Linked DNA regions of Cricetulus griseus. The protein of the gene in region 2 interacts with the protein of the main gene of each other region in a biochemical or structural test. Links are inferred from orthologs where the notes say so. Each region holds a gene or a part of one and is shown on either strand. Other genes may lie near its edges.

The links.
Region 1: the proteins of Erbb3 (region 2) and Grb7 form a complex in vitro, tested with the Homo sapiens proteins (2 studies listed by BioGRID and IntAct, with this or other methods). The link is inferred for Cricetulus griseus from reciprocal best matches to the Homo sapiens genes ERBB3 and GRB7.

The regions. Positions count from the first base shown.
Region 1 is NC_048600.1:111,572,257-111,576,521, reverse strand, and holds the start of Grb7 (growth factor receptor-bound protein 7), read right to left. Parts: upstream 2,813-4,265; coding exon 2,661-2,812; intron 2,556-2,660; coding exon 2,405-2,555; intron 2,247-2,404; coding exon 2,090-2,246; intron 1,980-2,089; coding exon 1,858-1,979; intron 1,736-1,857; coding exon 1,658-1,735; intron 1,429-1,657; coding exon 1,279-1,428; intron 602-1,278; coding exon 491-601; intron 281-490; coding exon 182-280; intron 1-181. UniProt on the Homo sapiens protein: Adapter protein that interacts with the cytoplasmic domain of numerous receptor kinases and modulates down-stream signaling. Promotes activation of down-stream protein kinases, including STAT3, AKT1, MAPK1 and/or MAPK3. Promotes activation of HRAS.
Region 2 is NW_023276806.1:129,327,168-129,330,680, reverse strand, and holds part of Erbb3 (receptor tyrosine-protein kinase erbB-3), read right to left. Parts: intron 3,285-3,513; coding exon 3,211-3,284; intron 2,703-3,210; coding exon 2,612-2,702; intron 2,240-2,611; coding exon 2,034-2,239; intron 1,853-2,033; coding exon 1,720-1,852; intron 1,073-1,719; coding exon 982-1,072; intron 811-981; coding exon 656-810; intron 1-655. UniProt on the Homo sapiens protein: Tyrosine-protein kinase that plays an essential role as cell surface receptor for neuregulins.

The DNA.
Region 1 (4,265 bases), on a different chromosome or scaffold from region 2:
AGATGGGCTGTGACACCCCTCAGGCCAGGACTTCTCCAGAGTAGGGCTGACCCTGCCCTTCCTGACTGGTATTCTCAGAAGCCCGGCTATGGTGACCTCTTACTGGGAAGACTTCCTGAAGGCAGAGCCATGTCACCTCCCTCAGGCAAGGCCAGCCCCCCTGCTGTTCCAGGGGTCTTACCTTGAAGAGACGGAAAGCAGTGAGCCAGCAGGTCCGGCTCTGCTCATCCTCACTGCAGAAGATGTGGAGGCCCTTGTGGCCATTTCGAAGCTTGTTGGGCTGGGAGAGAGGAAGTGGTCTGTCCCCTGTCTGATTCTGTGCCCAGTTGCCACGGGGCAAAGAAGGGCCCAAGGACTACCCAGATGTGCAGGTATAGCGGTAATTGGCTGGGTTTCTCAAGACGGGGTTCACAAGCCATAGGCAGGACACTAGAATTTGGACAGCTCTCACCGCCCCCCCACACACACCAGGCCTTGCTTGAGTCCTCACCTTGACACAGAAGCCGAAGTCCGTGGGCACCCCATAGAGCTTGCGGCCCTGGGTCACCACATAGGCATTAGACTCATTCACATCTGCCACATACTGTAGGTGCCTCGGGTCCTGGGCATGGTGAGAAAGTAGGGCTTGGTACAGGTAGGTCCTATCTCCACATTAGTGCCCCACCAGGTAAAGAGAGTTTAGGACCAGGGAGAGGCAGGGAAATACCCATGTTCACACAGCAGATAGAGGCTGAGGAGAGGGCTCAGTTGGTAAAAGGCTTGCTGTGCAAGCAGGAGGACCCAAGTTTAATCCCCAGCACCCACTTAAAGAGCTGGATGTAATGCTATACACTTCTAATCCCCGTGTGGGGTTGCCACTCAGCCTGACCTAATCTGCAAGTCCTAGGTCCTAGTAGGGACCCTGTCTTCAAAAACAAGGTCCTGAAGACCTGAGACCAATGGTGATGGCTAACAATGTCTCTCTCTCCCTCCCTCCCTCCCTTCCTCCCTCTCCCTCTCCCTCTCCCTCTCCCTCTCTCTCTCTCTCTCTCTCTCACACACACACACACACACACACACACACACACACACACACAGGCGCCTATGTTTTCTACTGCCATTCCTAGGGTAGGTGAGCCAAACAGGGGTTGGGATGGATAGATTCTGGCATGGCCTGAAGACAGCCAGCCCAAGGGGAAGGAAGAGCAGCTGAGGATCCCCGGGCCCAAGATGGAAGGGTCAAGAAGCACTAGTGAGGAAGAAGTACATGACAGGCGAGAGCTGACCTCAAGACCTCACCTTGGACGTGCCCTTGGTGGAGTAGTAGAGGCCGGACCGGCGCAGAAAGCAGAAGAACCGTTTCCAAAGCTTTCGGCCTGAGCCCCGGCCAGAGCCCCGAAGCTGCAGAAAGCCCTGGATCTCGGGGAAGCTGCCGGCATTCAGGAAGTTCTGGGGACAGATGTGAACAGGGGTGAAGGGCTTGCCTCCTCTCAAACCTCCGCAGGAGGTGCTGCACCAGCACTGACTGCCACCATTTCACCAGCAAAGGTCACCATGGTGGCGGCAGACACCAACAAACACAGATCAGATCACACATGGCAGCAGAGGGTAGAAACACTGGATGACTTGGGGTAAGGGGGTAGGGAGAATTGTGGATCTATGGTGAGGCAGACCTCACCTGGATGAGGTCTTCATGAGATGTGCCTGTTTGTGCATCCAGACAGCTGGAGACCATCTTTTCTGGGAACAGTGTATGCTAGGGAAGAAAGAAATAGTTAGGAATCAACGCTCAAGAATCCAGGCTAGGGATCTAGAGTGTGTGTGTGTGTGTGTGTGTGTGTGTGTGTGTGTGTGTGTGTACACCCAGTTCCCACTCACCGGGGGGCTCTTGAACAGTTCATACTTGGCAAAGTTTTTGCGGAAGACAAAGCGACTATCTCCACCAACAGGCCAGGCCTCCTGCACTTCCACCACAAACTCATGGTCCTCCACACCCCGCTCTGAGATCAAGGGTGAAAAGCAGGGGTTGGTAGAAATTAACCAAGCCTCACAGATGAGCCACCTATCTTGCCCAAGACATCGCCCCACAGCTCCTTGTACCCCGACTCACCCAGTGCTAAATAGGGATGGCATTCCACCAGGCCCCAGCTCTCATCACCCAGGGCATGGGCTCGCTGTACCAGCATTTCACACACATGTCGAGCTGTGGCACCCGCTGCCACCTCCACAGACCGGCAGGTCCCATCCTCACTGTACACCTTCACCACCTGTACCCCAGGAACTGCAGGTTACTTGGGGCAAGGCAGGGGCGGGGGACTCTACTCTCTGACTTATGTTCAGGGACCTGCACCAAAGAGGCGACACCACATCTGCCCGGGGCTGGGGCAGCACTGTCCCCACTGTTCCCTTTCCCAAAACAACTCACATGGAGGCGACTGGAATCTCGAGAAAGCAACCCCCTTGCACTGGAGGAACCTCCAAGAATGGGTTTCTGTGAAGGCGGGCTGCAGAGCTCAGGGAACGGGTTGGGGATGGAGGGTAGCGAGGTCACCTGAAGCTCCTCTTCTCGAAGTTTCCTATGTCAGAGTTGAGGGATGGAAGCCACTATGTGTTAGTCAGTGCTGGCTCGCCTCCCTGTCCCCAGACCTCCCTACCCATGCAGCCCCACTGTCCGATCCTACCTGCTGCTTGGAATGGGCAGAGGCTGTGACCGCTTCACATCCCCAGCTGGAGGGTTATCAGGGGGTGGAGGAGTCTCAGGAGGGGTCCCAGGAGCTGGGCACGCATCTTCTGGGGAGCTGCTGAGATGAGGTGGGCTCAGATCCAGTTCCATGGTACCTGTGAAGACAATGTTGATGCCATGTGCTATCGCTGATCCCTTCAAACTGCAGTTTCCTCGGAGCCCTCAGAGGGGATACAGGGCACGCCCACTTCATAGAAAGGAACACTGGGGTCCTGAGAAGGAAGTACGCATGTGCCCAGTGGCATTCAGTCTGGTGCTTGGGACTCCAATGCCAGTGCTCTCCCTGCAGCAACACCAGCTCAGGGGAAAGAAGAGGTAGGCTCCATGCCACATGTCCCTAGCTGGAGCCACAGGGTCAGGGCAAAGGCTGTTCATGCCACTGGGCTCTGCCCCAGATTTTTCCAGCACTTTATTGTTCTAGCACCTGTTGCCAGATGCAGTTTGCCAGGCCTGTTGTGGTAACACCTGGCAGAGAGATGAGTGATAGAGAGAGGCGATTAGGAAGGACAGGATCAGGAGGGCAGGACCATGTGCTCAGGTTGTGGTGGAAACAGGAGGCCTGGGGGGCTCTTACCCCAGCACCCACAAACTCGGTGGGCCTTCCCAGACTCCTCATCCCACCCAATTTTTACCCAAAGCCACAATGATAAAGCCACCTCCTATGGATGAGAAGTTCTCTTGGACTTGTCACACTCAGCCTGGTGCTGGGAACTCTACCCCCACTACTGTGCACCTGTCTTAACCCATCTCTGGTCTGAAAGCACCTGGCACACATTAGAGTCTCACCTATGCCTTAGCACCCACGGGTGCAGAGAAGTTAGGACAAGTAAGGACAGACGAGACCAGGCAAGGGGTTGGGGGTGGGGCAGGTTCCAGCCTTTCTCTGCAGGAACCAGCAGACCCCATGGTGCTGAACCTGGCAGAACCCAGACAAAATGCCAATCCCAGTATCCTGCCTGTTCTCCAGACCCTGCATCAGGACTGTGAGGCTGCCCAGGACACCTGGGAAGGTTCCTGGCACCAGGATAGGACAAACTCTTGACCCTTCTGTGAGGGCATGAAGGGATCTGGGGGACAGGTGAGTCAGGGCGGGGCGGGACAGCTATGCCCCAGGCTCCCCATTCAACTTTGACTCATCTATAGGACTTCCTGGCTGAGGAGGAACACAAACAACCTGCCTCTGCCCTCAGTCCCTGACTCCCCAACCTACAGGTAGCCTGGGAGCAAGGGGTGCAGGCTGGGGAAAGATGAAAATGGGAGGAGCAGCCCGAGGCTCCTCTGACATCATCCTCCCCACCCTTGGCCAGTGTCCAGCCCAGGTGGGACTAATCATCTGCCCACCTTAGTCCCAAACCATCACCCTGCCTATAACCCAGGGAGGTAGGAGGAAATGCCCGGCCTGGATCCAGGAGCCTATCAGGATTGGAGCCGACCTCCTGGTGATGTGCAGGCAGCATCCAGTCCTGCCTAGCCTAGGTCTGGAACCTGCAACTCTCTTCGCTGTTAATTATCCTAGGATGTATGCTGATGCATCTGGCCTTGG
Region 2 (3,513 bases):
AGCCACCATGTGGTTGCTGGGAATTGAACTCAGGACCTCTGGAAGAACAGTCAGTGCTCTTAACCTCTGAGCCATCTCTCCAGCCCTAAAAGTAATTTTTTAAGAGACAATAGAGACTCAGGTCCAAGAACCTCTACATATAAAAGCTTCTTTCAGAACAAACCTATTGTGGCACCGGGAGCCCCAAACTGAGCTCCTAAACAGAGGAGACTCCACTCCCACCCCTCTTGAGTATCTCATTCCCCATCTCTGGCTCACTACAATTTTTCTTGAATTAAACTCCCGAGCTTATTCTAGCTTCCCCTAACGGTGGTCTACTTTCGTGCTGTGAGTTTCTCTTCCTCCAGTCCTTTACTCTGTAGCTGGAAGTGAATTTTTTTTAGATTTATTTATTTATTATATATATAGTGTCCTGCCTGCATATATGCCTGCCAGAAGAAGGCACCAGATCTCACTACAGATGGTTGTGAGCCATCATGTGGTTGCTAGGAATTGAACTCAGTAGCTCTGGAAGACCAGCTAGTGTTCTTAACCACTGAGCCATCTCTCCAGCCCTGGAAGTGAGTCTTAAGTAGCTGAACCTCTCTTCTTGCTTCTCCCCTCATCCTAATTAAATGTCCCCACTCCCCCACCTCCTTTTCATCCCATCACTCACCCCTGAGTGCAGTTCTCATGGCAGGGCCGACATTCATTCTGAGCATCTGGGTACTTGTAGATTGGACCCTTGGCACCTAGGATTCCATGGGGGCAGCTGTTGACACAGTGGGGCCCATCACGGAAATGGGTACATTGAGCACAAGCCTCAGAGCCCTGAGTAGAAGAGGATTGTGGAGAATGAGATCTCAGTATTAATTCCAGCCTTTATCCCTTCAGGATTCTCATGTACAGATCCCAGGGTTCTCAGGCTCCCCTGGGAATTTGGCCATATCATTCTGTAGACATTGCCCATCTCCCTCACAGATCCCAAGGCTGCTACTGTACCGAGCCATTGCACGTGCTGGTGCCCTCCATGGGAAGGCATTCTGGGTGGCAGGAGAAACATTCACCCTCATGAGCAAACTCCCGAGGCTCCCTGCAGTGGGGGACAGACAGAGGGAGGTCACTTCCAAAGTTCTGACCTTCATGCCCTTATTCTGTAATAAGGGCTTTCTGCTTCATGCTCACCAAGACACAAGCAGAAAGCTGCCTACAAAGCCAGGGGTGGTGGCTCACATCTGTAATCCCAGAACTTTGGAAGCTAAGGCAGGAAGATTTCCATGAGTTCAAGGCCTGCCTGGATTACAGAGTGAGACCCTGTATAAAAACAAAAGCTAGCAGGCAGGCAAGCAAACAAGAAAGAAATAGAGGACCAGATGTGGTCATGCACACCTTTAACCTCAGCGCTCAGGAAGCAGAAGCAGGAAGATCTCTGAGTCCTGTCTGGTCCTGCATAGCAAGTTCCAGGCCAAGACTATAAGGTCCTGTCTGTCTGTCTCTCCCTGCCCCCACTCCCTCACTCCCTTGCTCCCTTCGATCGAGCCAGACACGGTGGCTCATAGCTGTAATCCCAGCATTTGGAAGGTTTAGACAGAAGGATTTAAGGCCCGTCTGGGCTACAGAGTGAGTGGGGGGTGGGAGGAGGGGGGGAAGGGAGAGTGAAAATCACAGTTCATTAGCGCCTGAACTCCTCCATCCATCCCTGGGCCTTACTCCACCCTCTTGGCATCCTCCACACTGTACCCTTTCAGGAAGTTGCAGTGAGTCACACAGACACCTTCCCGGCTGTAGTTTCGACAAGACAAGCACTGGCCAGGGCCTGGGCCCCAGCATCCCCCGGAGGAGCACAGTGGGTCACACACTTTACCCTCTGCCTCTGGAAAAGAACAGACAGGTTAAGAAAAGACTCAGGACTCCCAGGAAGCCTTCTTCTGAACAGTTCTTCATTGCTGCCACGTCCCACGTCCTTACTGGCTCCATCCCTCAAGCCTACTCCACTTTGAGGGTCTCACCTCCCCAACCACCAGTTCTTACTCCTGGTAGGCCCTTCCTCTCACCACATTCTCTCGGAGACCGATTATACTTGATGTCAAGTCTGTCATCCGAAGGCCCCCGGAGCAGTCTTGTCCAGTTCAGAGAATGGTGGTAGCAGAGCTGCTGATTGGCACTTATGTAGACACGCCCAGCACTAATTTCCTTCAGGGACCGGAGGCCCAGGGATGTGACATTCAGGTTCTTCATGATCAACAAGGAGAAGCCCCGGCTGGAATAAGGAGGCAGAATTAGAAGGCAGACTATAAAGGGAAAGTGGGATTTATTTCCACTCAACAAATTTGCTCCAGGCTAAGTTAGAGCCATGGAGAGGGATTCCCTCTTTTGGCGGGATTGTTTTCTGAGACAGATCTTACTACATCTCTGAGGCAGGTCAGGAATTCACTATGCAGCCCAAGCTGGTCTTGAACTTGCTGTGACCCTCCTGGGTCAGCCTCTGCAATGTTAAGGTTACAACCCCACATTTGCCCCCCCCCATTGTGTTAGCAGACTACTGGGGGCTGTTGGTTGGGAGACGCGCTGTGTTTCATAAGGAGACGCCCATCGCAATGTCTGGAGAAGATATCACCTCCACCTTACTCACTTGTAGAGGCTTCTGCCCCCGATGGTTGTCAGGTTGGAAAACACACTGAAGTTGTGCATGTGAGGAGGCCAGGACTGGATGTTTAGGTACCCTGAGGGGTTGGAGAGAGGCATATAAGCAGGGAGTCTTCTCCTGCCCTCAGGTTCCCTGTCACTGTCCCACTGTGCCTTGGAGTGTGACTTTTTTTTTTCTTTCCTTTTTTTTTTTCGAGACAGGGTTTCTCTGTATTGTTTTGAAGGCTGTATGGAACTCTCTCTGAAGACCAGGCTGGACTCAAACTCAAAGAGATCCATCTGCCTGTGCCTCCCGAGTGCTGGGGTTAAAGGCGTGCGCCACTTCTGTCCAGAAGAGTGTAACTTTTTTTTTATTATTATTTATATACAGCATTCTGCCTGCATGTATGCCTGCATGCCAGAAGAGGGCACCACATCTCCTTACAGATGGTTGTGAGCCACCATATCGTTGCTGGGAATTGAACTCAGGACCTCTGAGCCACCTCTCCAGTCCTCGAGTGTGACTTCTCTTAAGTGGTTTAACTATAATGCATGTCGGTGGGTCATCTGCTCCTTCCAGCAAAGGAAGTCTTTGATCTTCCTCACCTGTGATCTCCCGGACCGTCCTGAAAACATTGAGCTTCTCTGGGTCCAGCGCAGGGATCTTGTGCCAGGGGTCTCTGGGGGAATAGTGAAAACTTTTCAACAAAGAAGAGGCATGCATGACTCAGTGGTAATAAACACATCACACCTCAAAACACAGTTTCCAGATGTCATTTTTCCCTGCTGTGCCGGGGATCAAACCCAGGGCTTTAAATATGCTAAGCAAGCTGTGGTATTATAACCCAGCCTCTTGGCTCCTAAATCATAGTCTTCATCCTAAGGAAACAGAACTCCTTGGAGAGGTGC